Struthio camelus: one gene and its partners. The protein of the gene in region 4 purifies or fractionates together with the protein of the main gene of each other region. This does not show direct contact. Links are inferred from orthologs where the notes say so. Each region holds a gene or a part of one and is shown on either strand. Other genes may lie near its edges.

Region 1 (7,818 bases), on a different chromosome or scaffold from region 4:
TCAGCCCCTGCCTGAGCTCCATGAGTCTTTAGGGAGCTTTCTGCCTCATTTGGGATTTCGCTTTTAGTCCAGAGAGATTACATCCTGAAAAAGGTGATGGAGCACTTCTAGAGTACATTCAGAGAGGCTAGAAGAAGAGTCCCTCTGGCTCTCTAACCATGGCAACTAATGTCTGTATTGTATGGTTTCTTTTTATTCCTACTTTAGTGCATCTGACTTCTTTAACAGGACTGCTTATGCTTGGATTTAAATTAAAAAATATGTTTCCAGTTAGCAAAACTCCACAGTCTTCAATCAGGTGACTGTTTGCTTGACAACCCTATTAGTATGACTTGAAAATGGAGTGAAAATAGGCTGTAATTTTAAAATACTATGTGGTATTTATAAATAGTGTCATAGGTGTATATTATTGAGGCTTTTTTCTACTAAAAGTGAATGAAGAATATTTACCCCTTACACAATATGTGCAAAATCCAAAACACTGCAAATTGAGAATGCTCTTGCTTTATGAGTTAATAATTAAATAACAGCATCAACATATAAAAGGTCAGCAACACAGCCAAGTCATAAGCTCAGAAATTTCTGACTCACAGAAACGTCATCAAACTATTGAATTAAGTTTTAGAGGGCCAAAACATCAGAATTTGTCTTTAATTCATGTCACACTGAAAAACCTAAAGCAATCACAATTAATATTAGAATGATTTATGGATTTTTTTTTTTTGAGTTCTTATTGCTAGAAAATCATCACATTGCCAGCTTATGACCTTGGCTTGTACAGTTTACAAAGTAAAAGTGGAAGAGAATATTTTTGCTAGGTACAATTACACAGAAAGGCAAGCATCCAAAACCAGAAGGGCTAGTTAAGCAAGAAAGCAGCATTGAATATAAATTGACCAATAATATATGCAGCCTGGAAATGAATAATAGTCTTGAAAACTGCATCTCCTCAAATATGTGACTTTTTAAATAATATATGTCTTCATGAATGAATTAACAGATTTTTGAAGAGAAAGAATATTTAATTTTCTTGACGCATTAAGTCAACGAGTACAGAAAGATCGGGAAGTTCACAGCAGGCTTTGGGGAAGACGGAGTGCAGCGTTTCCTTTTTCCCCTGGACTACAAAGCATTTTAAGGTGGAGAGTGACAGACATGCCTCCACTCTGGGAGAAACTGAGTGTAGCAGTCTTAACAGACAGTTGTGAGCTGGGTGAGTCACAGGTGGGGACATAAGCACCACACTGGTACCAGTATGTCTGATCTCAGTATGTCTGATCTCACCACAACTCCTCTTCAAAGGTTCAGCTGCTCTTGATACTTGGAAGTACATCTTGCCAAAGCATTACTTAATACTTTTGATATTCTTTTATAGTCCTACCATCATTGTACTCTGTAACTAAACAATAGTCCCTTACAGACTAATATTTAACGCATCCTTTGTAGGGAGGAGATCTTTACCACTTTACTTGGCATTGCCATCAAGGGATGTAATCATATTGCCTAACAGTAGGCATCGAACTTTAGCTTTCTTTATCAGCAGAGGCTCCTCCAGGAAATGAGTCAGAGCATTTACATGAGCACTGATGTGCCTTCTGGAAGGGTCTCTGACTCTACATTGACTGCAGAGAAATCTAGGACAACTAACCTCCTCATTGGGACACCCAAAGGCCAAAAGTTAGGTAAATACAGATTCCTCCTTGAGCTTTCATAGTTTAGATACCATACGGAAATCTAAGGTTTCTGAGAGATGTTTAACACTCACAGACTGATGATCTATCATAAACAGAAGCCAACTGTTGGACAGCTGGAATAATTTAACTTAGCCATGCAAGACCATCTGGGAAAATTTACCAGCCCAAGTCCAAAATCTATTTGCCTTGCCTACCTTTTGGCATGGTAATTGTTCCAAAAAAAAAAAAAAAAAAGAGAGAGAGGTAGGCTGCATTGGTGACACTTAATGCATGTTACTGGAAAAGAAATCTAAGGTCATAAAATACTATCAACTGAGATCCCAAGTAACCATTACCTAATCTCTCCTAAACATATCACACCATGTCTTAAGCATAAGTTAAACTTACGGCTCCCACCTGAAAGCCATTTTTAGAAGCCTTCCTATTTTCAGCCTGTTTGTACGTAGCTTTTGTTCCTTTGCCCTCTTTTTCAGCACCGATTTGTTCCTTCAGTAGTTCCTTCTCTTCCTGCCATTTACCCCTCGAATCTACTTACGGGCAGTAGAAGTACTCTCCTTTTGCCAAACTGATAAACTGTTATATTACTATTCATTACGGTACATGCAAACATAAGCTATCTATGTTCATTTCTGAGGTGGTTAGGTATAGGGGAAGTTAATTCTGGAAGCTACTACTTAACAGTGTTCTCTCCAACTTATTGGCTAAGGTACACCAACATGCTAACAAGGCTCATCCAGCGAGCTTAGAGCATAGGTAAATTGTACTTATGTTTTTTACATTTGTCCAGGAATGCAAGTGCTAGCAATCATACAAAGCAATGGAGAAAGCTCAAATGTAACCGCCTGTTTAGGTGTCGGTACAGAATTAGATAAACCTAAGTCAATCATGAAGCTGCAGCCTCTAGGTGGATTACTTTAAATCAAAACATTTGACTTTTGCTGATTTTCATCACAGTTTAAATGTCAGAGTACATTGGTTTAAGTGTATTTTAATTGCTTTGTATTTGCATATCTTTAATTATTAGACTGGATAGTGCTCAATCCTTGTTGTTTACATAAATTATTATCACTAGCTCTTGAAAACTTTTTGATTTTACCTGTTTTCATATAGCGAACTTAGATTTTCTGGATCTTGCAAAGCACAGGAATGGAATAGGTGTATTTATTTGAATGCAGCCATTGTCTGATCCTAGTCGAGATACTGTCATTACTTTTTCCGTTCCCACTGTACATTCTAATTCAACTTCAAAAAGAATATTTAGTTTAACCTCTTCTTGAAGAAATGAAATGGAGATCACCTTGATATCAAAACAAAGGAGGTCATATTCAAACAGACTTCAATGATATCTGCCTGGAAGTTTAAAGTACTCAAGTGGCAGGTGCTGGATAATGAGCACAGAAACAAAGCACTGTAACTTCTCTAGGGATTATGTTAATTTCCTCCTTAATTAATCTGTTTACTAAATAGAATAAGTTAATTGCAAACCATTCTAAATCATAACCAAATTGCTGGTTTCTGTAAGCATGTACTTTTCCCTTCTCGCCCTTTTGCCTCTCCTCTGCTCCACAGATTTTCCATGTTATAGATATATATCTATATATGAAACAACATGCACTATGCTTAGATCTTGGTGGCATTTGTTTGATGTTAACAACAGATCTTTTCCATATTAGCTCTTGTATAGTATTTGGACTGAAACCTTTGCTCTAAATAATAACAGCAGTAGTCACTAGGTATACTTATATAGCATTTGAAGAGCAGGCATAACGGCAACCATAAGCCTGACGTGTTCTTAAGTGCCTCTGCCTTTACAGTCTTTTCAGACGGCAGTCTTTTGAACAGCTTTTTCAGGTTTTCCTAGCAATGTACTAATATACTGAGTCACACGTGCTTCTAGGCACAGCCTCTGCCTTCATCTAGGCCTAGTCATACGGCAACACTATTGGGATGACGTAGCACGGCAGTCTGGCCTGGATACAGGCCTTAAGAGTGACTCCGAAACGTAGTAAAGACTTATCTATCCACCTAGCAAGACAGGGGTAAAACTGCCACTGCCTCTCTGCAGAAAACTAAGAAAAAAAAAACAAAAGAGGAGCTTTCTTACCACCTCATACAGATTACCTGTATCATTAGCTGCAAGGTGGTAGAGAATGAACACCTCCAACTCAGACAGATAATGGATAGGAAAGAATTAGAAACAATAAGCTGCCAGCGTGTGGCTGATAACGTTGATAACCAAATTGCTCCCACCTCAAAGTTTCAGATGAGTTCCTAAGTTACTTCTGGGTCTCTCTGCAGTCTGTCTGAAATGTTATACTTCACTGTCATCACTGTATCCATTGTCTAGAGTCTTTCCCTGTAATTTTGGGACAAGCTTTGGTTTTATCAAACTAGCTTTTGGCTATTTCTCTTGCATAATCATGCATAATTTATGTTACAGAAACAACACTAGCAAACAGGGAAATAAATTAAAAAAAAAATTTAAAAACCCAAATATAATCGTCCGAGAGCCTTGACCTACATTTTCAGTATTCCCTTCTAGGCTTTTCTCCATGCATTTTGGTGCTGCCAGAAGTATTTTAGGGACTGTAAATACGGACACGTTAGTCTGGACTACTGCTACGTGCAGCCAAGTATGGCAGCACCCAGGCTAATTAATCTCGCTTGGGCAGTGCGCCTAAAACCGACGCACAGGCATTTCCCACACAGGCGCGCCCGAGTGCGCGCTGAGAACCACCACGTTTACATCCCGTATCTGGCAGAGCGGAGGCTGGCGACGGCACGGGGCCTTCCGCCCGCTGTCCGCGGCGGGCCGCTACCGCCGCCCCGCTCCCGGCGGCCGCCACGTCGCGAAGCTCCAGGCGGGCCACAGCGGCTCTCCGGGGCTCACGGCCTCGTCACAGCTCTCCCTTGACCCCACTCCGTGGCCGCTCGCCCACTGCAGCTTCCTCCCCCCTCCCCGCGGCCCTCCCGCTGCCCGGCGGACCCGGCGGCGCCACTGCCCTGCCCCGCCCCGCCCCGCCCCGCCTGGCGGCCGCCCTAGCCCGCTCCGTGCCCCGGAAGCGCTCCGCGCCCTCCCCCCGCCCCCCGCGCTCGGCTCCCGTCACCCGGCCGCTGTTTCCGCTCCGCTTTCTATTTCCGCACTTCCGGCGCTCTGGGCGCGCGAGCCCGTGTTCGGGACACGCCATTCCCGGGCGGCGAGGGGGGGGAAGCAAGGGGACAGCGGCGACGCCACCTGTGCGGGGAACGAGGGGGGCGAGAGCGCGGCGTGGCCGGCGCGTGCGAGGCGGCGCGGGCTCGTAGCGCGATGGCGGCGCCGGCGGCCTCGGCGCCGCCGAAGAAGATCGTGGCGCCCACCGTGTCGCAGATCAACGCGGAGTTTGTGACACAGGTGGGGCCGGCGGAGGAGCGGGCCGGGCCGGGCCGGGGGAGCTCTGGGTGCCTGGTGGGCCGCGGGGCGCCAGCGGCTTGGCTGGTCACCGGGCCGGTAACAGCCGGGCCGCGCGCGAGGCGGGCGGCGGCGGCTGCTCGCCTCGGGCCGGAGCCGGAGCTGCGCGGGGCCGTGCGGCCTGGCGGAGCTCGCCCGCCCGCCCGCCCTGCGTCGTGCCGGGCCGGGCCGCGCTGTGCCTCCGTGAGGCCGCTCCGGCTCCCTTCTGCGTTTGCAGAACTTGTTTCATCGTTGGCCCCAGTGGCTACGATCTCGCTGTATAAACGGGCTTTGCAGCCTGCGGTGTTAGGGAAAAAGGGTTTAGCTTTGTCGCAAGCGAGCAGGTATTTTTTTAGACCTGGATTACATAGGGCAGAGTGTGTGCCCGACGAGTTTTCAGGCTAGAGAGACTTGAAGAAAAAAAGTAGGAATGTTACAAAATAAATGAGGATTGTCATAGTACACAAAAAACTGTATGAAATTTTTTGTAGTTCAGTGTTCTAAGTGGTTTTATACAGCTTTTTTTTTTTTATACTGAAAATACTGCTTTGCTTTCTTTTCAACCACATAAATAAGTTTCAATAAAGACAGCCCTTGGCAGCATAGCTCAATAGTTTTGTTGCAACAAAGGGAATAGCTACAGTGAATAGTTTGGAAATATTGGAGCTTTACATATAGCCCTTGGTTTTTTTAGTGGGGTGTACTCATTTAGTTAAAATTTTCTAATCTTTGCATTGTATAAAAAAGCCTGGCAGCAGCTGCTTGTCCAGTTCAGTCTGATTCAGAAGTGTACAAGCTTAGAGTTCTCTGAAGTCTTAATTTTTCATGTGGGATTACTTGTTTCAATAGAGGGATTTGCAGCCTCCTGAAAGATCCCTGTAGATTTTTCAGGGATTTGCTAGGGGAAACTTAAGAAAAACAGGTTTGCTTTTGTAGTACAGCACTGTGTGCAACTGAAACTTTTATGAGGCATCACACCTTTATTGTAAAGATTTTAGGCACAGAATCTTAAATAGTTGAAAGTTATTGTTGTTGGAGAACATAACGTTTGTATGTAGTTACTGTAAGTTGAAATTAAGCAAGAAACTAGGGAAATACACAGCCAAATCCAAAGTGTTTAGAGTGTTATATAGAACAACATATGACAACTGAAAGTGTGTTTGTTTAATGTATTTCAAACTTGTTTTTTTCCTTACAGTTAGCAAACAAATACTGGGCTCCGCATGTGAAGAAAAAGTTGCCTTTTGATTCAAAGGTAAATATTTTTAGTGGTATTGTACCGCGCTGTAAAAGAATAAGAAGCAATACTTTTCTGCCATGCTAAACTGATGCTTATTTTTGTAAGGGTGTAGGAGACTACTCGGAAAGTCAACAGTTGCTTAGCACGCTATTAGCTGTTGCTTAAGTTGTTTGTGGTTTATACACATAGGTACCGTTCTGAAGATGCGCTATAGCAGTGCAGTTCTTTTGCATGCTATTTATTCTGTTCGTTTTAGCTTGAGAGCTTGTGAGGGAGAAAAAGATGTTTGAGAAGGGGGCACTGTCAGAAATCAAAGAAGGACCAAAGATGCAGGTAACACTAAGCTGTAAGGGTTCCTTTTAAAAACTTCTTCAGAGGGTTTTGATCAGAGAACTGAAGTGGTGTTTTGGTGGTTACCTGCATTGTGAATGTTTAAAATTTGGCATAATGTTTTTGGTTCTCCGTTGGTTTTCTGTAGTGCAGGCTTCTCAAATGTTAGTTTTCATTCCCTTGTGGATATTTGGCTTAACCGTCCTCTCTTGCCTTAGTTTACCCACTTTCTTTACAGTGTTTGTGGTAATATTTGCATCTGTGATTGTTAGAGCTAGAATGTAGATGATCAGCTAAATTACAACTCTGACAGCAGATGTGATATCAGAATGTGCCTACCGCAACAGATAGTGCAGATGAATTGTCTACAGTTCTTTCAGTCCTATTGGAAAATATAGAACAGTGTGGATTTGGTCAGTTATAAGAAACAGTGGCAATTGATGCCTGGGGTGATACAAACTTGAATCTTCAAGACTATTCTTTAAATTCAGCAATAGACCAAAGATGAGCCATAAAAAGGTATACATAGCTGTTTGACTTGTGTATCAAATCTCAGTGAGGTGTAGGTTGTTCCTTCTGAATAACTTGAATGAAGGTCCTATCAGTTCTCTACCATCGTGTGCTTTTTATTCCCCTTAGCTGATTAATTTTTTTAGTGCGGATGTCTGTCTGTGGAGCTTTTGGTCTCCTCAGAACTGAGACATATCTGTTATGACATTTTTGACCAAATAGCATTACACAGAGAGTAACTAATTCAGAGTAACTTTGAGTGCATAGAATACTTGAATGTATTTTTAATCATGTCATTAAATATGTAAACTTCTTAAAATTCCTTTTGAAATATTCTTTCCCATAGGTTATTGAAGATGTGTATGCAAAAGAAATTGTCAGGTCAAAGTAAGTACGTCACTAACAGACAAGTATTCCAACGTTTTCTCTACTGAAATGGTCTTAAATGTTTATTGAACTACTTTAAAATACACTAAGATGAAAATAACTCAAGCACATTTGAGCCATTTAATGGATGATATCTCATTTCAGAGACCAAATGGGGTAAAAAGAAAACTCACGAGCTCACAGTCCTTAAATATGAGGGTTGGATGTAATTGGTTCCTTAAGCTGTTACT
Region 2 (7,301 bases), on a different chromosome or scaffold from region 4:
TCTCAATATTGTGCAATATACTAAACTGCAGAGCAGCTAGTGTAACCATTGTTCAAAGGCGGTACATAATTGTTGCTTTCTTTTAAAGTTCCTCAAGAACGTTCAGGTTAGTACTGAAAACACATTCAACTTTCAATTTTTATGCTAGTATATTCACCGTAAAATAATTTAATAAAAGCATTCTATAACAAAGTGAGGTTTCAGGAACACAAATTATTTAGGTAATACTACGTTCCCACTCAAAGTTATTTGTATCTGTGTACCTGCTGTGAATGAAAATTCATAGGATAGCGGTAATACAAACATCATCTAAACCTTGATAACCTTCATGTATAATACAACTACTTATTATAGGTACTTCTTGCAGCTCAGAACTGCAAAGAAACAAACTCATTTTGAAACCAGGAACTGCTGCACAGCCTCAGCAATGAGAAAATCCAGATTTTTTAGGATATTTGCAGGCCTCCAAGCTGAATGTTTTTTCCTGCGTGATTTTAAAATTAATCATACTGAACAATTTTATGCTGAACAAATTTCACAACTGTGTAATTTTATACACGCAAAAAGAATTCCCACAAGATAACAATGTCTGTTAGGGTCAAGATAATAGTGCTTAATATCAATGCAAGATAATAATAATTCACCCTATGTAAAAGTGTACAGGAGACCTACAAGTCTCACGCGCTATCTCCCAACCTCACGTGAATATCAAAATACCCTCAGAAATCTCAAGTTGTACCAAGACGCATATGTGAGGACAAATGACTCAATTCCTTGAAGTTAAGTATGCTCACATCTGTAAGAGAGAGACTTCATCTGGAAGGTATGCATTTACATGCATTTTAAGAAACAAAAACGTCTTAGTAAAAATCTATTGGTGGCATTTATTAAAGTTCTTGTGACTAAATATCACTTGCACGTGTAGTATATAACTCTTCATACTATCAGGCTATAATGTTTTTTGCAGGATGCTAGCATTACAGATCAGAGTGCATGCCACAATCTAGCTATTTTTGTTCTAGTAGACTTTATAATACCACCCTACTCAGCATTAAATGTCTTGTTATGGCAGCAAACGAATTCTTGCTTTGTCACAGCCTCTAGAGTCAATACCCTAGTCTTTGCACGGAGGAAGATGCTGCCAAATTCATGCACGTACACCCACATTTGACACCGAACAGAAGCAGAGATCTGCCGATTTGTATCTGTATCTTTACCCTTGGCTGGGAAACAGAGATGAAGAAGAACAGGGTGAGAGCGTAACAAAGTTCATACAAGTTACGAGAAATGCGTAAGATCTACTTACCCAGATGTGGATGTGTGTGGCTTCTCATCTGCACCTAGATAACAGTCAGGAGTCATTTCTTACAGTCCATTCTTTTAAAAGAAACATCCCTCACGTAAAGTCTTACCACAGCAGTGACTTCACAAAGATAGCGTCTATTGTCATAATTTCTCAACTGCCGCGACTTAAGTGTCCCCTAGGACCGTCAGGTACTACCGGTGCTAACAGAGTTCCAGCCCTGCGCACACAAAAAGTTACTCTCAAAGAGGCAGTGTTTGGTTAAGCCTAGCGTTTAGTCAAGCCTAGAACAGTAGTTTGTCTTACAACACCTAATATAACAAAGAAACGTAAAAATACTCGTTGTGTACGAACCAGGGACAACAAAGTATTTTGGAAGCACAGAGATAATTCTTCAAAGGCAGAGAACTCCAAAACGTTTGTTTTCACAAACGCGGCATTTTCATATGTTACGTATTCAGTAGCAGCAAGAGAAGAGATTCACCTACCTTCTTTCCTTCAGCACAAAGTTTTGTGAACGGTTTGAGGTAACCTAATGGCTTGATTTCACTGGAAAGGAATACTTCTACTCCGAGGCAAGCGTTTCCACTGCTTACTTTACATCGTTTCTCACGCTGTCCAGACCAACCCCACCACCCACGACCTAATGTGGCCCACCAACCCAGAAGAAAACTAGCTAACCTACCAAAATAACAGCTTTCTCCTGGCCTGGTGAACAAACACATTCCAGACGCAAAACGTCAGATTCTGGCACGCGCTTTGTAGGTATTGTCATGCCTTTACCTTTTGCTCTCTTTAATTCCGTATTTTCCGCATCAGCGTTTTTTCTCTTGACGGGGTGAGACGACGTGCCAGCAGCTGAACCGCTCGCTGCCTGTTTCGTGCCTTTTAACTCTGCGACTCTCTGCAGAGAAGCACCAAAGTCAGGAGGCCGTGAGCAGCTGGAAGCGCGGCGCACGGAGAGCAGCACGTCCTTAGGGGGGCCCTAAGGCCGCTCCACAGCCAGCCCGCCCCCTACAGCGGGCATCACCAACGCCCAAAACCCAGCCCGGTGCTGGCGGCAGCCTCCGGCGGGGCAGGGGCAGGGGCAGCGCCGCCCGCCCAAGCAGCGACTGCCGTCGCTCATGTTTACAGCAGAAAAGCACAGGCGTACAGAGCAGCAGGCTCGACTCACCCCAAGGCCCCGGCACGGGAAACGTTGTGAAACGACCCCCCGGGCCCCGCTCACCTCGCGGTGCTGCTTCCCCAGGGCGTGCGTCGGCCACAGCAGCTCGCTCTTGACGGGCGCGTTGCAGAGCGCGCAGCTCAGGTGCCCCAGGCTGTTGTACGTGCGCCGCCGTTAAGGGAAGCCAAGGCGCTGCCGTGCCGCCTCCCCCCCTCTCCCCCCCCCCCAGCCCCGGCCGCCCCGACGACACGCCGAGGGGCGCGGCGGGCCCCGCCTCGCCACCCCGCGCCGCGAGGAGGGAAGGGCCGCGCCCGGGGAGCGGGGCGGAGGATATTTGGCGAAGGGCGAGTCGATCCGCTTCTTGCCCGCGTTCTGCCGCTGCTTCTCCCGCATGAGGCGCCGCAGCTCCTCCTGCCGCACTTGCTTCCGCCCCGCGCCCACCCCGGCCGCCGCCATCTTGTGCGGCAGCACCTCCCCCGCCGGCGGCGGCGGCGGCGGGTGGAGCCAGCGCCGCGAGCCAGGCCCCTGCGCGCGCGCAGTGCCGGGGGGCGTGACCCGCCCCGGGAGCCCCGCCCCCACAAGGGGCGTGACCCGCCCCGGGAGCCCCGCCCCCACAAGGGGCGTGACCCGCCCCGGGAGCCCCGCCCCCAGCGCGGGAGCGGACATGACTAAGGACAGCAGAGAAGTTTCCATATTTCATTTTTTTTTTCCTTTTCATTTGTGATGGTACAATAAAATAATTAAAAAAAAAAGGGGGGGGGGGCCAAGTTCTATGGTGTCAAGTCTAGCACTCCAAACTGTGAGCTACTACGACACATCCAAAAAGCATTAGCCCAGCTTTACAACAGTATGACTGCCCGGAGAACTCGGTCACTGAGAACATCTCCAAAAAGGGCATGTTTTAAGCCATTCTTAAAAGTAAAGGGCAAGAAGTCCCACAGCTCAAGACTGCAGCTCCGCGAGCATCACTCTGGTCTGTCTCACACTACGGCCTACAGGGAACCGGGCAACTGTGACTCTACTCCAATCTTCAGAGAAGACAAACTGCACGGTGAGACATTTTGCATGAACGCCAATCCGAGACGTGTAAAGGAAGCAATACAGCAAGTGGAAGGCAATGGGATAAGTGAAACTACTGCAAAAGTGAACAACTTCTTTGCCTTTTCACACGGCCAGGGCAGGTGGTAGAGGAGGAGAACTGATTTGGTAGCAAGGTAGGTACAACAGGACTACAGCATTAGGGAGAATATACCTTAAATTTGACTTTGAGATCCATGTTTACCTTTACAAATTCTCAGTGATTCCAGTTTTCCCCTGTTCCTTCCACGATTGTAGTCTGCTGCACTTTTCAAAATTTTTTGTTGTTTTTACTAAAAAAATAGAGGCTATTGTGGAAAACATGAGGTGTAAGGCTTATCTTTCAAAAATAAACATAAAAGTCAATCTACTCTAAAAGTTCTTAGAAAACTTTAAACATAACCATCAATTTTCCAAAATGAATCAGTTCATTTTTATACCTAGTTTTCAAAACAATGATTTTTCATTGCACAAATTTGCCTTAATACGCTTACACTTTTGCCCTAGAAGCTGAACCCTGATAACGGGAGCTATCACAGAAGTTCTTCAGCTCTGGACATCCTTTTCTGAATCCAGATGTGCTGGTGGGACAGGTTCATCATCACGCCTTTTGCCTCAGATTACCAGATTAGCAAAGATTTACTACTTAAAATCTTGAAAGTAATCTGTCCCGCTCTGAGACGGGTTCGGGATGTATCCACCCAATCAGGTCTCAAGGAGCAGCAGTCTCTGGTAAAAGAGTGATGGTAAGTAGCGGGAGTCAATGACCTTTTCCACGGACAGAGAGATCCGAAAGAAAATGTCTGCCTATAGCCTTAATACTCTTGCCGAAAAGAGAAAACAACCAAGGAGCAGCAGAAGTGAACACAATCCCAGGCATGACCACAACTCCTCATGGGCAGAGGAGAATACTTTGCCTACTATACACACATCTGTGAAAGTTCAGTGCGTTAGAGCACATTTACATTTGAGAAGGTGAGGATCCTTTTCATCAAAGGGAAGCGGGCAATTTGGCATCCTCTGAATTAAGCAACCGTGTTGCTGTTGGTTTAAGAGTCAGCAGAGTCACCAAGCTAGGGCTTCACGAAAATGGCTACAACTGTTCCTCCCTGTAAACTTGAAGTGCTGGGCAAATACAGCAGGACCAGAGCACTAACACTAGGAAAAAATACCCACAGTCCTAGCACATATACCATTTTCTAACTCATAGTCAAGTTCACCAGGATTTTAGACCTTAAAATCTTTTATAGCTCCTACAAACAGAGTTTCATATGGAAAAAAAAAAAATGCAATCTTAAAGAAACTGGTGACAACAAAAATATGGCAGCTTGAATCTTGATATGGTCAAAAAGCATTTTTACAATAAAGGTGATTCATTTTTAATGCAGGGCTACCACTTCATTTGTTCAATGGTGTTCTTCACTAAAGAAATGCTCCTCCAATTATAAACACCAGAGAAATATTGCAGGATAATCCTTTAATGGTTGTAACTTACTAGAAATTATCCTTCTAGACACATTCTCTTTTTTTAATCTTGTAAAGAGAGCTAATCACAAAACAGTCATACGCAGATAAAGACTCATTATCTAAGGGGCCATTTCTAAACATCCTCAGTCTCTGACTGACGTGAGATGAAGGAGCTCAGGTTTGTCACAGGAACAGGCTCCTACTGGTCAGTACGTCATCGGTCACTGGGTATGACAACAGACCTACCTATCAGAAGCGTCACTGAAAAAGCAGCCCCCATTGCAGGTAAGCCAGCTGTGAGCTGTAACTCACAATTGCAAGCACAGCTGCCTGCACCTGCTGGAACAGTTACTACCTCCTGCTAAAGTTCATTTTTCACCTACCAGGGCACGTATCTGTCTGCAAACATCAGTCAGAAACAATCACTGCAATTTTCCATTAAAAATTCAGTGAAACCAGAAGAGAAGCCAAAAATATCTTTTAAAATAGCTCCCTACTCATACCTTGTTTGAACTGAATCCTTGGTATATGAGCAGCATAAACGATCCCATTTCATTTCCCACCATAACTCAAGACGGAACACTAGAAATAAAAACGAGCTATAAAACACATGGTATATCAGAAATCCATGTTAAAAAAAATACACCTGTATCAAGGAGCTCAACAAGAACGTAAAGCACTACTCAAAATTAAGTACCATGCATGTTACAGTACATTCCATTTATTATGACAACTTAAGGCTAAAATAGGTATGACTCCCTTATAGTCAAGCTTTCTTATATTTATCAATGCATACAAACAATAAGTGGATACAAATGTGCGGTCTTTTTATTGCTCTGAACGGTCTACTAGAATGTTATACTTCCCCCGTTTGCTTTTTTTTCAATCAAATTGAAGTTCTACAATTGCAACTTATGGCATTTTTATGGTTATAGATCTTCTTTGATTTGAGCTGTAAATAAATTCCAAGACAGAGCAGACAAAATTGCCCATCACTGCAAACTTTGTTACTGAGTTAACTAAACACTCGTCCATAAGCTACATGACAATTCACCACAAATGTTATTTCTGCAGTTCTTTAGGAAGGATTGTTTTCTTTTCAGAATAATAGGTCTCTAACCAAGTGGCAAACATGACAACCAGCAAGTAATGATTGACTAGTACCAGTCTAACAGACTGGGCTTAAAAAAACAAAACAAAACAAAAAAAGCTGAATATGTGCTCCAAAACAAAGAGCAAACTTTTCTTCTTGCTCATAGAGCAATTATGTTTCCTAGTTAAGTAGAGCAATGCCTCATTCTGCCAGCGCCAAATTCTTTGATTGCAGCTTATCCATTTCTTGACCAATATTTCCTTCAATTGTATCACACTGGGCAAGAAAAGCCTGAAAACAGGAAACAAACAAATGTTATCAGGGATGCAATTACAGCAATGGTAGACTGCTTCTTAAGAACAGAAGCTAAAGTTTCCATCACGTAAAGAAGGCAATTCAACAGCCACCTCCCAGATCAGTTTTGATAACGGTTTATTACCAGTTTTATTTACTTAGAATCTAACAGAAACACGACAAGGCAACAGCATGGCTGTCCATCCTCACGAGTCCTGCCACTGAACCATTTCGAGTTAATCCAAAGTCCACAAACATCAGTAAGGATCAAAAAGGTTCAGACAAGGTGAGGCTTTAGTTTTAGACATAACTTTAAAACTCCTTCCTGTAACATATACTTCTGTAGTGCACTTTGTACCTAAAGCTATAACAGAAAAGCATTTCCACTGCAAAGTACTTCTTGGTAGCGTTTCCTCTAAAATGGGTACCTATTTAAAAATATTTAGGAAACATTTTTGATAATTATTTAATACATTTTACAATAAAAGACAAAACCTTGCAACTGTGTATATGAATGCAAGGTACATTCACAAACAATTTTCAGGAGTCTAACCTGTGACTGAAGCTAGTATAATACAAATCAAAACAGAAATATGAGTAGGATTACCACTCATTTATGGAAGTTTTCTTTTTTGGGGGTGGGGTAGAAATTCCAGCATTTAGTAACAAAACTCCAGATTAAGGTCTCTAAGGAAGCAAGGCCTAGGAAAATCTAAACATCACAACAGCAAAGCAACTAAAGAATCCAGCACAGCTGCTGTTCTGTACAGCTTTTACTTTAAAGGCTCGTTGTCTATAGAAAGTTGGTACATTGCAATAGACACTAAATTTTCCAAAGAACACCTCTAGCAAGGTGTTGCCCAGCTTCCAGTACGAGTCAGTTGGCGGCATTGTTGTGCCCA
Region 3 (7,293 bases), on a different chromosome or scaffold from region 4:
GTAGCATCCTACACTCTTTAAGATATTAGCAGAGAGCAGAACACAGATGGAATAAGATGAAGGTGAAGATCAGAAGGTACCTTAGTCCTTCCAGCTGCACAAAGCATCCAAACTGCATTATACTTGTCACTTTGCCATTGTAAATGTCGCCAATGGAAGGCTCTTCAGGTGGTGGACGGTCCACATGTTTGTCTCTCCATCTATCATTGCTCTTCTCGACATATTTCTCTCGATCCTTACGGTCCCTGCTGGGACTCTGACTCCTGCTCCTTGAGCGGTATCTGGATTTCCCCCTGTTCTTGTCCCAAGTCCTAGAACGAGACCTAGAACGAGACCTGCGTCTTCGCTTCCTGTCCCTGCTGCGGCTTCGGCTCTTCCTCTTTTTTTTCGCCCTATCAAACAAACATTAGACGTCTACACCGAAATTCTGCATAAGAACACAGTGGGTAGACAATATGAACTGCCTGTACCCATCCCCTAAAGACATACTAAAAACCTACCGGTGGTCACTGTTCCTTTGCTTGCCTTGCCTGTCGGCACTAGGCATTAGAGCTTCAAGTTCTTTAAGTGCATCAGCTGCCACTTTCACATCATCTTCATCCAACATATTCTGCAAGGACAGAGAACCATTCTGTAGGAAGGCTGATAAGAGTCTGTCACAAAGAATTAACCTACACAAAGAATAATCATGTGCATTTCTGTTTAGAATTAATATAGGATAAAGAAAGATCAGACAGAATACATGATATAGAAAGAAGAAATGATATTATTAAAAAAAAAAAAAAAATGCTTCCTCCCATTTTGCCATAATATTGTGCCAATTCCGCTTTTACAAAAAGAAGAGTTTTATCTCAACATCCAAATTATTACCGAAATACAAAATACAAATTCCTGGTATCATTTTAATGTCCAAGATTTTCATCTAGTTCATGATTAGTTGCTCTAAACATTATGTCAGAAAGGCCAGGCTACAAATTTCACATCACAGGAGCCTCATCTTTCAAATATCCTGCAAAATAGCATCAATGTGGCAATTCCTGTAACAGCAGTTCCTGATAACTACATCCAATAATATCAGCCTTCTGCTTCTTCTGGGTTTCATTTCTCATGGTCCATTTTTATTCATGCATTAGCAGGAGATACAAATGCTAACATGAATACAACTTGAAACTAGAGAACAACTGCAGAAAATAAGTGTTATGTTTCCATACACTCATGAGAGAAATCTGAAATTATGACCTTACCCTGATGTTGGGGTTGTCTGGCCTGCAAAGGGCTGGAAACAATTCCTTCAACTTTTCTTTCTCTGATTTGGGTTTGACAGCTGCCTCTGATTTTGAGATTAAAACAGACACACACAAAAACCTTAGAAGTGCTATAAGGATTTGCCCTTGACATTTGTGAAGCTGAATATAAAGTTTAATTTTCATCTGAATGCAAAGATTAACACAGCTGTCACAGATTAAATTCAAAAATTACAATGTTATCTTTCTATAAATGATATTATGATTAATAGCAAACCTGTGAAAAACATAAATGCTCTAAATACTGTACTCAACATGTTTTCAGTGCCACAACAGCTTTGCAAGCCTACCACTAATAACAGAGAGAAATCCATTACAGCAATAGGATATGTATTGTCCTACAGGACTAGAACAATAACTACTTTGATCTGACCAAATATGGCCAAAAGCTACAAAAGGCAAGTTTTTTTTTCTACTGAACTGATGAGAGATAAATTATCTATACCTTTGCTTGTAGATGGTTTTGATGGAGGCCGCATTGTCTGTATGAGACGTAGCAAATTACTCACAAGGGAATCCTGCAAAATTCAGGAAAACACTTTATTCTGATAAGCAACTTCAATGCTTTTGTTCATTAATATAGGGCTCAAGAGAGGGTTTGTTAGGAGGACAAAAAAAGCTCAATGCTGAAAATGCAGGCTTTGTTTTTAAAAAAAAAGCTTCACGTACAGCCTAAAACAAATATAATAACTTGGATTTTAAAGTGATTATGATAATTCCATTTAACTGATTTTCCCACTCATCACTTTTCTAATCACCTACTTAATCCAACTACAGTAATTGCTGAGGAACACAGGAAGATGGCATCTAAATATCATAGAAAGACTTCTGCTAACACTTGCCTTCATGACAAGGTGTTTCTTCTGTATTTCACATGCTCAGCAATCAGACAATAAACACTTCAAGTAAGGCCTCAGAAGGATGCTTCACAAAGACTATGAGTGTTCAGAAAGAGGAGGAGGAGGAGGGGTAGGAGAAGGCTTGATCAGATAGGTATACTCAAAAGCTATATATTTGCATAGTTTTCCAGTTTAAAAAAAAAATCAAAAAAAAAAAAAACCCACACCTCTCTTTTAAAACAAAAAAGGCTCTATAAAATATGCCAGGTCAAAAATGTACAAATAATGTCTAGCTCTCACTTACAGTGAACTCAGCACCATTCTTTAGAAGAACAGCTTTAAATGTGTCAAACGTAGTGTTTTTCTCAGCAAGATTTATCACAAACTCGGCTGTGAAGAAAAAGTATAAAGGAAATCAGAGCAAATAATTCAAAGGCAGCGTAGGCGCACGTTCTGGTAAGAGCTGTTCTGGCGGCAGCCCAGGGCTCTGCTAGACCTATCCACCCACAGCAGCGCTTTCCTTTCCGAGCCCCTTCGTGGGAGCCCAGCTCCAAGCACTTTCTCGCGCTCGCGACAAGCTTTCTGAGGGAAGGTCCCCTTTTTTCCTCAACCCGAGAAGCCGCTCGCAGAACAGGCCCCGGCCGCCGGCCGCGCCGGGACAGGCCCTTCTCCGCGCCCCCGGGGCCGCCCCGCTGCCGGCTGGCACCGGCCGCTCACCCAGGTCCTTGTCGTTGATGCCGAGGTGGTTGTCCAGCTCGGTGCACACCTTGGAGACCAGCGACAAGTACTCGAGCTTGGCGAGCTCCTCCAGGGCCACCGGGTCCGCCATGACTCCCCCGCCCCCTCACGGCGCCACTTCCGCATCCGGGACGCGGCGGAAGCTCTGCGCCGAGCATAGAGAGGTGCGCCGTGCTAGAGCGGCCCTCCTGGGGGAGAGTCTGTAACACCGGCTTGGTGGTTGTGGCGGGCGAGGGAGCCAACGGGGGCGAAGGCGGGAGAAGGCGCCGCGGTGCCTCGCGGGAGGCCGCAGCGGGCGGCGGGGCGCGGGGGCGGCGGGGCCGTCGGCTCAGTCCGGTTGTCTGCTGAGCGTTAACCCTGGAATAGCGCGTGCCTCAACAAGGGGGGGAGGATGGACGTGAGAGTGGAGCAGCAGAGAGGAGGACCAGCCCCCCCCCCTCCGCGTCGGCCCTGAAACAGGTGGCAGCAGAACCGGCTCTGATGTCGCTCGGTTGCGACGGCCTCAGTACAGTGATTAAATTGTCCTGTGGCAGGGACAGACGGGGAGCGCGGGAGGCAGGGTTAGCAACAAAAGTGAGGCAGCTCGTAAAATACTCAGCATCTTGCCAAGCAAACGAAGTAACCCATCCACCACTCCCCACCGTGTGTGGGGGCGCGTCGCAGCCCCCAAGGTGGGCTTTCTTGACGAGACAGACACGTTCTGCCTGGATGAGATCATTATTAGCCAGCTGCTAAGTACCCTCATATGCATATCTATTTCTTGAATTATAAGCATAAATTGAACGAAGCAAAACGCTCTGATGCCAGCAACAGTGTCTTCTCAGCACCGTTGGAGCAATGTCTCAGCAGTGAGTTAAGTCTGGATTCCTGGCTATCACAATATTTTTTTTTACTTATATACTTAGATTCATTGTGTATTAGATTCATTTGGACTCATTTCACCAAATTTTTAACTTTCTGCTCTGCTGGGCTGCTGCAGATGTAATCAGTGGGCTGCCTGTGCTCTGGAGTGAACTTGGTCCTTCTGGCCCGGCTGACACATCAGACCCCTCTGACCCGGATTTCTGGAAGAGTAACCTCCTTCCTGGTATGTACTAATTAAATTACCCCAAAATAAGAGGGTTGTAACATACTAACATGTCATAATATATTCTATATTCAAAACCAAGTTTGTAATTCAGCAGACAAAATTGATTTATGTACTGAAACTTTGAAATCCTGTCAACTAACAGTATCAGCTTCTAAATCTTGCTCCCAGGCTCTCAGTCCCTTGTGAGGATGGAAGTCTGAGCCTTGTCTCCAGGTCTGCAGAACAGTGCACAGACTGCAAGTGAAAAATGCTGCGTGCACAAACATAAATAAGTCTAGCCAAATTGTGTGTACATGCTAGCAACTTAGGCCCATTAACAGTGGAAAATATGTCCAGCCTCTAGAACGCTAGGTGAAACAATAGCATGTTATTCTTTCAAAGGCCAGAATTAGAGTGGAATTTATGTGAGCTGAGTACTACCACCTTAATTAATCTAGCAGTTTATAGACAATAAATCATGTGCTGAGTTTTAAATTACTGTGCTAGACACATTTCACCTCACATATTCACTTAGCGTACCTCCTCAGCACTTGCAGAAGATTATTGGGAAAATCTAAATAGAGAGTGAATTTCCATACTCTAGGAAATGTTCTACATGAGACAACGATAGCAGACTCAAAGCCCTACTGCAAACTGCATTCATCAGCAAATTACAGCAATTAAGTAAGGGACTCCAGATGAATGTGGGTGACAAGCCCACCACGTGGCAGGTATTTATTAGTAATTAAGCTTTGGCAAACAGAAAAGAACCAAAGACTTCATGCTGTCAGCCTATGTGACAAGCTGAAAAGGAAGTGCCTGCTGTTGACTGAGCACAGAGACAATGGGGGCCCAAGAGAGACTGCTAGACAGCAACGGACACGGAGCACTGTGGAGCAGCCAGGCTGAGATCCATCAGTGTTTTCAAAAGCCTGCCACTTAGAACAGAGTGCATGGAGCACTGCAGAGGTGACAGTCCTGGGGCTGTATGAGCTTTGATTGCATCCATCTCTTCAGCTGCCTCTCCAGCTCCTTCCCCATAGTCCCAGCCTTGTGGTTAAGGGGGAAAGGAGCTACTTGAAAGCTCTAATCCCTGGCTTAGTCACTTCCACAATGCTATGCATCTCCTAGCACACAGCACTCTGCAAGCCTCTGTCCATATGAATGGACAGCTGATGGATTTCTACAGTCCTCCACCAGAGAGGGAGGAAAGTTTCCCAGTTCACACATGGGAATAGCAGGGTCACAAGAGTCTTGTTAGGTAATAAGGGTATAAAACAGTGAATTTTAATACAAAAGTTCTCTTAGAAACAGGAGGAGAAATAATAAAATGCTGATTGTTTGTATTGATTTTGAATCGAAACAGCAAAAACGTGTATCCCAGTTTCTAGCAATTTGCCATCAATTAAAAATAGAAGTCAGGCACAAAGGCAGCACTATCAGCTAGTGCATCTCACCAAACCCACACTTCAGATCTCCTTGAACTCCAGTTCCAAAGACAGACCTTTGCAGCAGCTCAACAGAGCTCAGCTTGGCACAGGCAGCTGTGAGAATCCAAGCTATGAGTCAACATAGACAGTGAATTACAGGCAAAGATCAGGCTGCTGAAAAGGAGAAGGTAAAGGAACTCTCTGGATTTGAGCAGCATGGGTCTCAAGGGTGGGGCAGAAAAATTAGTCATGTCTTGTGTGGCAAGTTATTACCATTAGAAAAAAAAAATTACATTTCCTAATAAACAGTTTGAATCTCAAACGTTAACAGTACCTAGCACAGCTCCTCTGCAGTGCTTCTTAGTTGTACATGTTGAGCAAGCACCAATCTGAGATTTTTTTGCTCACTAGCACTGGTTTAGCTGGGCGCTGAACCGTCAGGTGCAAAGCAGAACCTGCTAGTCTAGGGCAAGGGATAGAGGCAATCTCATGCAGTTCCAGAATCAGCATTAAAGGCATAGTAAAGTCTTGTTTTGGAAAGCAGGAAATCCCTGCAGCAGCAACGCAAAACTCATTTGTTTCCCAGTTAAAAACTTCTCCAATAATCCCCAATTCCTCATGCAAACCAAGGGCTTGCACCACTCTGGGTCTGATGAGCGGCTTATGAGAACAGAGTGAAGATGTGATTCTGGGAACTTGCCTTAATCAGACAAGCTGGGACCCTTCCAAACACAAGCATCTCATTGCAAAGCCTATCACAAGAGATTAGCTACAAGCAGCTGCTACTGCCAAGACTCTTTATAATCAGCCAAACCCATCCCAATCTATATGATGCACAGATGGAGCCCGGGCCCCCTCTCCTCTGTCCCCTACAGATTAGCTATTGTATAAGGGGTTTCTGGACTGCAGACAGACAAGCAGACGGCTGGAGATGGATGGGAGAGGGGAAGGGATAGCACTTTTCTCAAATCTGGTTGATTTGAAATGGCTTCAGATCATGACTGAACTGACAAATGTGAGGGTCTCCAGCACATACCCCTAGGTCAATATTGCTTCTGTCATTATGGATTAACATGGAAGTTAACAAAAAGCAACAAAAGACAGAAGCAGACAGGAGTTCAGCATGCTTTGCATTTTAGCTGTGCAATTCACAATTCCCCAAAATCTCACAGCAATTAGGTAGTCAGCATGCAGAGTGAAATGAGAGGTTATTTCCCAAGCAATGTAGGAAAACAAAAAGGAAGCGGCGGAGAGAAGAAAGGCAGAGAACAGTGAGAGGACAGTAGTAGCACATTTACAGAACAACTCAACTGCTACCACATACCACATTTCAGTGTTTTCATGCTTCCTGAGCATCAAGCTCCAGGTTACACATTTCTGCAAGGGATATGGTGGAAGTTCCCCTGTCTGGACTCCAAATTATATCTGTGGATACCTGGATGGAATTTCTACTTCACGCATTGTTACGTACGACTCCAGTTCCCAGCCATGGTCTTCTGAAGGATTTAGTGGAAACCCCCATCCCAAAGTCCCTGCATTATCATTCAGGAGAGAATATTCTGTCTTCGCATAAAGCCGGCACAAGGAGTCCTGGTCCATGACTGGGGTCCTACAATCTATGATTACTGCACTGTTCATCATTTTATCTTCACCAAACACACCACTTATAAGATCGAATTCAGCAGTGATGCTGGACATAGCTCAAAATCCATCTGTTGAGCTGAACCTGCATTTCCTGAGGCTTCTTTCCCTTCTCTACATATTATGTGTATGTAGCAGGAAGACTAGGAAGCACTATCAGACAGCTGACTTAATACAGTCAGACTCCAGTGCTGAGGTATTAAGCATTTTGTATTGAGTTTATTGCTTTTTCAAAGACTTCACTGAGAAGGTCATGGAATTCTCTGGCTCCT
Region 4 (7,456 bases):
CTGTTCCCTCCTCCGCTCACAGGAGTCCCTGTGGCTTTGGCTCATTTATTTTTCCTACCTCCTGTGTTTCTGGTTTGGGGGCCTCTGCTGCCCCCTCCTCTGTGTTCTCCTCCAGAGTCTTCCCCGAAAACTTCTTCAGCCAGTCGTCATCCGACCAGACTGCGACAGCAAAAGGAAGGGTCAGAGCATGGGAACCGAACCCAACGGCCACGTGTGAGCATGCATGCAGCTGCGTGGGGTCAGAGCACAGCACGGCCCAGGCAGCGGGATCGCACGCGGGAGCGCTCGGCTGGCAGCAGCCTACCCCAAAAGACAAAGCATGCAGCCACCCACGCCACCCAGGTCAACAGGGAAATAACAGTCAGAGAACATGAAGGCAGCTGGAAGCACAGCAAAGTGTGTTTTCATCAAGGAATCGGGTATTTTTGGTTATTAGGATGCTGGTGAGACCCCCAAATGGGAGGCAGAGCAATACAAGCTGAGGTCTCTGCCCCAGGATCTGGGAAAGCAGAAAGAAAGGCCGATTTTGGAGCAAGCGCGAGGTGCTGACAGTTGTTCACTGGGCTGTGCTCCTCTCGCAAGCACCGACTCACCAGGCCTTGATGATCCTTCTTTAATCCGCATTGGTTTGGCCAGGTTCACACGGATTGTCCTGCCGAAGAGCTCAGATTCATTCTGTAGAGGAAAAAACAAAACAAAGCCCACCAAAAGGTAAAATATCGCTATTCCCTCCAAATCCCTGCAGAGGTCAAAGAAACACAGAACTTCCTTTCTCCCCCTCCTCCTGATTTTGGACTGAGGGCCCCAGACCTTGCAACCAGACCACAGGCAACGGCGAACATGCAAACAAAGCGGGCAAGGACCTGGTCCACAGCAGCGCTCAAGCCCCGGCGCTCGCCCCCCGGGGCCACACCTGAAGCAGCGCCCGCCCTGTTTTTGCAGACAGCTTCATCGACGTTATACACAGCCAGAGCTGCCGCTAAACTTTGCTGGGGTTATCGCCAGCTCGTGTCCGTTCCCAACACTGGCTGCCCAGGACAGCTCGGTTCTGGGGCTGTTATTGTGCTCTCCTTCCCCTCCTGCGAATGGTGCGGTATCAGGCATGCGGAGGAAGGAGATGAGCTGACAGGTATTTCTGAAACAATCTGCCTTGCTCCTACTGGGAAGAGGGCGAAGCCCCACGCTGTGAGGAGAGGAGCAGCGATTTCACTTTCCAAGACAGCATTCAGCATGCAGATGGGAACAGAGCCCATACCATGTTGTCAATAGCTGCTGCAGCATCCTGGGGAAAGAGGGAAAGATCATTATTGCCATTTTTTCTCTTCTTTTCATGTAAGATCCTTGATTGTTTACACTAATATTTGGGAAAGGAGACGAGAGATCTTGCCTAATGAAGCCCACGATAGGTCATGACATCCCATGCTCCAACCAAGCTGAGAAACCCACCCACTGCTGCTGAAGACAAAATGAGCTCTAGGGAAAGCAAGCGGGTGTTTTGGACCAGGAGTGGCCATGCTTCAGCCCAAAAGACAATGGGAAAACTGGGAACTCGGAAAGACAAAACAGCAACTCGACTGCAGCTACTGGAGAATGGCCCATAGCTAGGACAGGCAACCTGTGCCTGCTCAAATCAGCTGCAAAACTCCTGCTGTCTTCAACCAGAGGAGGATCTGGTCTAAAATGCCACGGAAGGAAGAAGAGATTCCAGACTGCTCAAGTATTTGCCCCTTCCTCACCTCTGCCAGCTCAAATTCAATGAAGGCAAATCCTCGGTGCTTTTCTGCGGAGAGAAAAACGAGCAGTCAAAGGGAGCAGGGATAAGGAGGTGTGCCCTGGGATGAAGTAGCGAGCCCCAGAGTGACATGAGGAGACCCAGAACTAGGTAGCCAGCCCTAGGCCCGGGCCATGAGCCCTGGGACCAGGTGGCCAGTCCCAGGATGAAGCGGTGAGCCCCAGGACAAGGTGAGGAGCCCTAGAACGAGGCCGTGAGCCCCAGAATGAGTAGTCAGTCCCAGAATGAAGTGGTGAGCCCTGAGATGAAGTGAGGAGTCCCAGGATGAGGCAGACAGGCCTGGGATCAAGCAGTGAGTCCCAGGACCAGCCAGACAGTCCAGGATGAAATCAGGAGCCCCAGGACAAAATTAGGAGCCCTGGGATGAAGCCACAAGCCCCAGGGCCAGGTCATGAGCCCTGGGATGAAGGACTGAGCCCCAGGACCAAGTAGTCAGTCCCTGGACAAAGTGGTGAGCCCCAGGATGAGGTGGGGAGCCCTAGGACAATGCTGCAAGCCTCAGGATGAGGCCACCAGCCCCAGGACCAGGCTGTGAGTCCCAGGACAAAGGAGTGAGCCACAGGACCAAGCAGCCCATCCCAAGATGGCAGGGGAAGTGGTGAGCCCTGGGATAAGATGAGGAGCCCCAGGAGGAGGCAGGCAGGCCTGGGACCAGGCTATGAGCTGCAGGACCAAAGACAACCAACCCTGGGATGAAACTAGGCGCCATGGGATTAGGGCCGTGAGCCCAGGATGAGGTGAGGAGTCCTGGGATGAAGAACTGAGCCCAAGGATCGGGTGGCCAGTCCCAGGCTGAAGTGCTGAGCCCTGGGACGAAACCACAAGCCCCAGGGCCAGCCCACGAGCCCCAGGACGAGGCGAGGAGCCCTTGGAAGAAGCTGCTGCCCCCAGGCTGAAGCAGGGAGCCCCGGCGAGCCCCCTCCCCGCCGCCCCCCCGCCCTGGACCACGCACCGGTCTCGTAGTCCAGCGGGATCTGGATGTCGGTGATGTCTCCGAAGGGGATGAAGGCGGCGTGAAGCACCTTCTCGTCCACCTCCTCGGCCAGCCCGCCTGCGGGGCGCACAGCGCGTTACCGCCCGCCGCCCCGACCCCGACCGCGCAGCGCCCGCCGGCCCCCGGCCCCGCCGCTCACCCACGTACAGCACCCGCTTGGTGGTGGCCATCTTCCCTCCCCGGCAGCCTCCGCCCGGCCCCTGCCCCGGAACCGCACGGCGGCTCCGCCCCGCCCCGCTGCCGCCGCCGCCGTCGGGGCCCGGCCCGGCCCGGCGCGCCCGGGGCTCCCCGCGGGCAGCGCCTCCGACGTGGAAGGTCCGGTGTTGTGTGTCACACTACCTGATTTCCAAGGGGGATACTTGCATGTTTTACTACCCTCTCCTGCTCTTAAATAAAAATAAAAATACCCCCCCCCCCACAGGACAGGCAGGCAAAACAACATTACAATGCACATGAGAGGTCTTTCTGCTTTTCGAGGACCTTCTCAGGCACAAGTTTCTAGTTTTGCAAGTCCAAATTAAGCCTCAGTTCCACTAGGGAGCAGCCATTCTCCTTTTACAGGGTAACCAAATGCTTTTCATCCCAAAGGATCACCCAAAATGGTTTACAAAGCATTTACTAACCTCACCACCAGAATACAGCCACCTTGTAGAGTATAAAAAAGCCAGATTGTTCTGTAATGACAGAACCACTAAGGAAAACATCCAGCTGAAAGAAGGAAGAATATATGCGAAGAGCAGGAAAGAATTTCTTCTCCCACAGGCAACAAAAAGCGATCCAAACCTCTTTCATGCTCCACTTGAAAAATGCCTCCCACTGCCTTCTATTAGGTCACCACTTGGTTATATTCACCATTTGGACACTAACCAAACCCAACATAATCATCCTGTGGCAGAACTTTAGCACAGTTGCTCCAAAACTGTGATTGTCCAAAGTTAACAAGCAGAATAACTCAATTCAATCACGATTTAACATATCAATCATGTGACAACTGCCTGCCAGTTCAATTTGATAAGTTAATGTGATGCAGCTTACTACATTCTAGAAAAAAGACAACAAATGTAGTGAAAGTTTTTATTCCTTTATTGATAAACGCTTTCCAGACTTTCCAAACTGGATTGTTCAGTTAAAACCAAAACCACAAAAAACTTTCAATCAGAAATCCTCGATGTCCTGCCTAGAAAAGACAAAGGGTAACTGTCCTGACCACAAAGGAAAAGCTTGCAAACTTAATTCTGGTTTTGGAAATCTAGAGCTTCATGGAGCTGGCTTTTTAAATAAGATTGTAAAGATTAATTTACAAAATGCAATATAACTAACTATGTGATATGATGCATGGCACTGAGATTTGCAGGACAGTGAAGAATCTTCAAACATCTTGAGCTGATGTCTAGGAAGGGACTATTTGGCTTCTTTGCATCCTGTAAAAAAAGAGGAAGACAAGTTATCTGCATATGGCATAGTTCACACCAGGCTAGTGAACTATCCAGCGTTATAAACCATAAGGACTCCAGTATAACTTGCAACGAACAGAGAAGTTGTCTTCCTCTTGCGGATAATATCCATTGCTGATGATTTGGTAAGAAATTCACATCTTTCGTGGAGAAGCCAATCACTGGATCCACTCAGAAATTCACTAATGAAATATAAGAACCCTCATCATTCTTTACCATTTGGAGTTGTGACATCTTCCTGTGACATCTGACCAGAACAACTTCACAAAAAGTGCAAGACGTTCATGGTTAAGTCCAGACAAACCCACATGGAGGAATTCATCAACAAAAGCAAAAAGAACCTTCAAAGAATCAAAAATCTTATCCAGAAGTCAAATGAGAGCCAGGACCAAACACAGACAGTGCTTGCTTGGATAAACCTACACAATGAAATGACATTCCTGACACCAGGACTTTAATATATACTGTAGGCAGATGATTGTCAGGATAAGGAACTGGCATTAGCAGTCTATTTAGCCTTGAAGTCACTGGAACATCTTGTGCATCTTTTACCTTTTTTATTTCCTAGATTAGCAGCTTCAGAAGCCTCATCTCAATATATTATCCTTCCTTGACATGCTCCTAGTAGTTGACACTTCAGGAACCTATGCAACATCTTTCTGATACTTAAATACAGTGAGATCTTTGAAGCATACCTCTACAGCTTCTACCGTAACGATTCTCTATTGGAGAAAATGCATCAGTCTTTCAGTCAGTGCTGCACCTGGACCTACACACAGGTTTCCAGACAGGCTGCACACACTGACAATAACGCTTTATGTACTCTGATTTGGGAAACTTTTATCGGAAGCTGAGGACCGGGACACTCACCAGTCTTCCTGGTTTAAGAGGTAGCAGCAACCACGCCCACCTTCTGGGCAGCTTCTTTCTTGGCTTGATGAGCCTGCAACACTGCAACAGCCTCCTCCACCTTGGGTGGACAAGTTATCAAAGTGAGACCTGTTCTCTTCACTAAGGTGCCCCAATCCACGCCCCCTCTGAAGGAACAGGCCAATTTACCTTTGACCGAAGGGATTCTGGAGACTCTAGCATGTGCAGCAGCTCCGAGTTGTCAATCTCTAGCAGCATTCCTGTGATCTTCCCCGCAAGGCTGGGGTGCATAGCTTGAATCAGAGGGAACAAACGCTCGCCTAAAAACAAAACCAACCAAACAAAACAGTTCAGACAGGCTGGCTTCCATCAAACAGTTCTCTGAAACCTGATGGGATTTCCAAAATAAGATGTGATCTGTAAAAAAACAGGAGATTCACTTACCCAGCATCTGTTTCTGCTCCTGGGGAGGTGCAGCAGCCAGCATGGAGGCCGTTAGTGGTTCCTGTCCCTGCACATGTACTGCAGGCTGAGGTGCCTATAGAATGGCAAAGATGAGGATTCAAAAACAGATGCCAGACTGATTGTTTCATATTTAAAGACAAGGCAGTTCTTCCTTCCTCTAAAACATGGCACTCTGTCAGGCCTGCAGTAGAGTCAGTTTCAGAAAAGGACAGATAAGGTGCCCTGTGTTCACAAACACGCTCCAAGTCCTATTCTCAAAAACTAGAATGTCACACAGGGGCACGTAGCTTGCAAATATCCTAGTTATAAAAACTGGACCTTGCATTATAAGGCAAATGTCATGGCAGAGAAAGAGAAACACCCATGTTTGCTTTTTGCACAATGCAGCGGTGTATAGAGAGGCAAGCTGTGCTTTCAGTGATACCCTAGCGAGAATTCAGCAAAGAGATGAGAGAGAGTGAAAGCTAGCAAAAGTGTGAGAGCAAAGAGCCAAGAATAGCAGCCTTACAGCAAATCTGGATAAAAAGGGCTTAGAAGAGTAAGACAGACAAATCAACCAAGTTGCCCCTGGCGGAGGTATGTGACGACAACTGCCAGTTTTCTAAATTCCAGTTTCTGATCCCTGTCGGGACTATAAAAAAGTAGCTTGAAGTTTCTGTAAAAACACTTCAGCTGCGTGTAAAACCTGTTGGACTGTCGTTAACTAGACAGACTTGACAGAGCAGACCACTGCATTACCTGCAAAGACTGTACAGCCGGATGTGGGCTGCGAACACTCGAGGCGTATTTATAAGGAGGAACTGCTCGGGGAGCAGGGGCAGCTACTGGCGGACGAGGAGCTAAATTCTGCGCTGCAGCGGCAACACCTGAAAAGGAAGAGTAGGACAGAATTACACAGCCACAGTAACACGCAGCAAGCAAATTGGGATGTCTGATATTAACTGCTGGACTTTAATTATGCACTGCACAGCCTAATACTGGTTTAGAAACTGGCCTCCAAAATCCAATTGGCTTCTTTAGAAAGGAGCTACCCTCCCTAACACTAAGCCATAGATTCTATATCTGCTTTTAAGACATTTTCTACTTATTCCCTGAAATAAAGTGAATTTGGATGCTTTACTCTGAAACCACCACCCATAATCTACAGAGCCATTTTTGAGCAGTAAGTGTTGCAGAGTTGTAGAGATGAGTTCCAGGTGAAAGGAAAGCAACCCATCTGGATTTCCACTGCTTTGCTGTAGCACCAATTGTCCCCAGACCTGCACTGCACAGCAAGGAACAGGAAAGATTCAGGTGCCGTCTTTGCCCCTTGCTCCAGGCAGCCTTCCGTTATCCACGTCTGATGTAAAAGTCAAGTCTTAATACCATCCCCCTTCCCCATGAATGAGGGGAAGAGCCTGGGAGGCAGACACCTTACCAACTCGCTGGGCAGCGGCAGGGAGGCCACGAGAGGCTGGAGCATTGCCGGCAGGGGCCAGATGGCGCAGTGCTGGCCGTGGTCCAGACTGGCGCATGGCATTTGGCATTCCCTGGAAGCCTAATGGAAGAAAGGAGGGGAAATCCTCAAAACAGAACTGACTGGCAATCACGACAGTCAGCTACAAGCAGCAGGTTGGGGCTCTGCATGGCAGGGAAACTATGCATTGCTCTTGTTGGAAAATACAGCCAAAAGGGTCATACAACCAAAGCACTGTGTCTAGCATGCTCACCTTGAGGTCTCCCCCCTTGCTGCCAGCGTGGGTTAGGTCTCATCTGCGTCATTTGATTGGGTGCATAGTAAGTGGGTCTGCTCTGAGCCTGAAGAGAGATGAGACAAGCTCAGAAGGAACATGAAGTGAATAACAAACATCGTTTGCAACATGCTTTGGCAGTTGTTCCCAG

The links.
Region 1: the proteins of PPIE (region 4) and AQR purify together in Homo sapiens (affinity purification with mass spectrometry; 5 studies listed by BioGRID and IntAct, counting the BioPlex papers as one, with this or other methods). This does not show direct contact. The link is inferred for Struthio camelus from reciprocal best matches to the Homo sapiens genes PPIE and AQR.
Region 2: the proteins of PPIE (region 4) and ZNF830 purify together in Homo sapiens (affinity purification with mass spectrometry; 3 studies listed by BioGRID and IntAct, counting the BioPlex papers as one, with this or other methods). This does not show direct contact. The link is inferred for Struthio camelus from reciprocal best matches to the Homo sapiens genes PPIE and ZNF830.
Region 3: the proteins of PPIE (region 4) and DHX8 purify together in Homo sapiens (affinity purification with mass spectrometry; 3 studies listed by BioGRID and IntAct, counting the BioPlex papers as one, with this or other methods). This does not show direct contact. The link is inferred for Struthio camelus from reciprocal best matches to the Homo sapiens genes PPIE and DHX8.

Annotation. Positions count from the first base shown.
Region 1 is NC_090946.1:50,546,507-50,554,324, forward strand, and holds the start of AQR (RNA helicase aquarius), read left to right. Parts: upstream 1-4,804; 5' UTR 4,805-5,001; coding exon 5,002-5,085; intron 5,086-6,319; coding exon 6,320-6,376; intron 6,377-7,547; coding exon 7,548-7,588; intron 7,589-7,818.
Region 2 is NC_090943.1:70,979,348-70,986,648, forward strand, and holds the start of ZNF830 (zinc finger protein 830), read right to left. Parts: upstream 3,003-7,301; 5' UTR 2,925-3,002; coding exon 2,803-2,924; intron 2,632-2,802; coding exon 2,532-2,631; intron 2,208-2,531; coding exon 2,087-2,207; intron 1,341-2,086; coding exon 1,307-1,340; intron 1-1,306. Other genes in the region: BAG1 (BAG family molecular chaperone regulator 1), read right to left, coding at 6,307-6,396.
Region 3 is NC_090966.1:8,060,229-8,067,521, reverse strand, and holds the start of DHX8 (ATP-dependent RNA helicase DHX8), read right to left. Parts: upstream 3,006-7,293; 5' UTR 2,973-3,005; coding exon 2,861-2,972; intron 2,534-2,860; coding exon 2,448-2,533; intron 2,238-2,447; exon of another isoform or gene 2,153-2,237; coding exon of another isoform or gene 2,147-2,152; intron 1,823-2,146; coding exon 1,750-1,822; intron 1,331-1,749; coding exon 1,245-1,330; intron 672-1,244; exon of another isoform or gene 611-671; coding exon 501-610; intron 393-500; coding exon 81-392; intron 1-80.
Region 4 is NC_090964.1:8,126,639-8,134,094, reverse strand, and holds the start of PPIE (peptidyl-prolyl cis-trans isomerase E), read right to left. Parts: upstream 3,020-7,456; 5' UTR 2,957-3,019; coding exon 2,926-2,956; intron 2,844-2,925; coding exon 2,745-2,843; intron 1,781-2,744; coding exon 1,737-1,780; intron 1,283-1,736; coding exon 1,256-1,282; exon of another isoform or gene 953-1,255; coding exon of another isoform or gene 914-952; intron 676-913; coding exon 594-675; intron 160-593; coding exon 59-159; intron 1-58. Other genes in the region: PABPC4 (polyadenylate-binding protein 4), read right to left, coding at 5,124-5,210, 5,300-5,430, 5,555-5,648, 6,314-6,441, 6,993-7,112, 7,285-7,372. UniProt on the Homo sapiens protein: Involved in pre-mRNA splicing as component of the spliceosome. Combines RNA-binding and PPIase activities.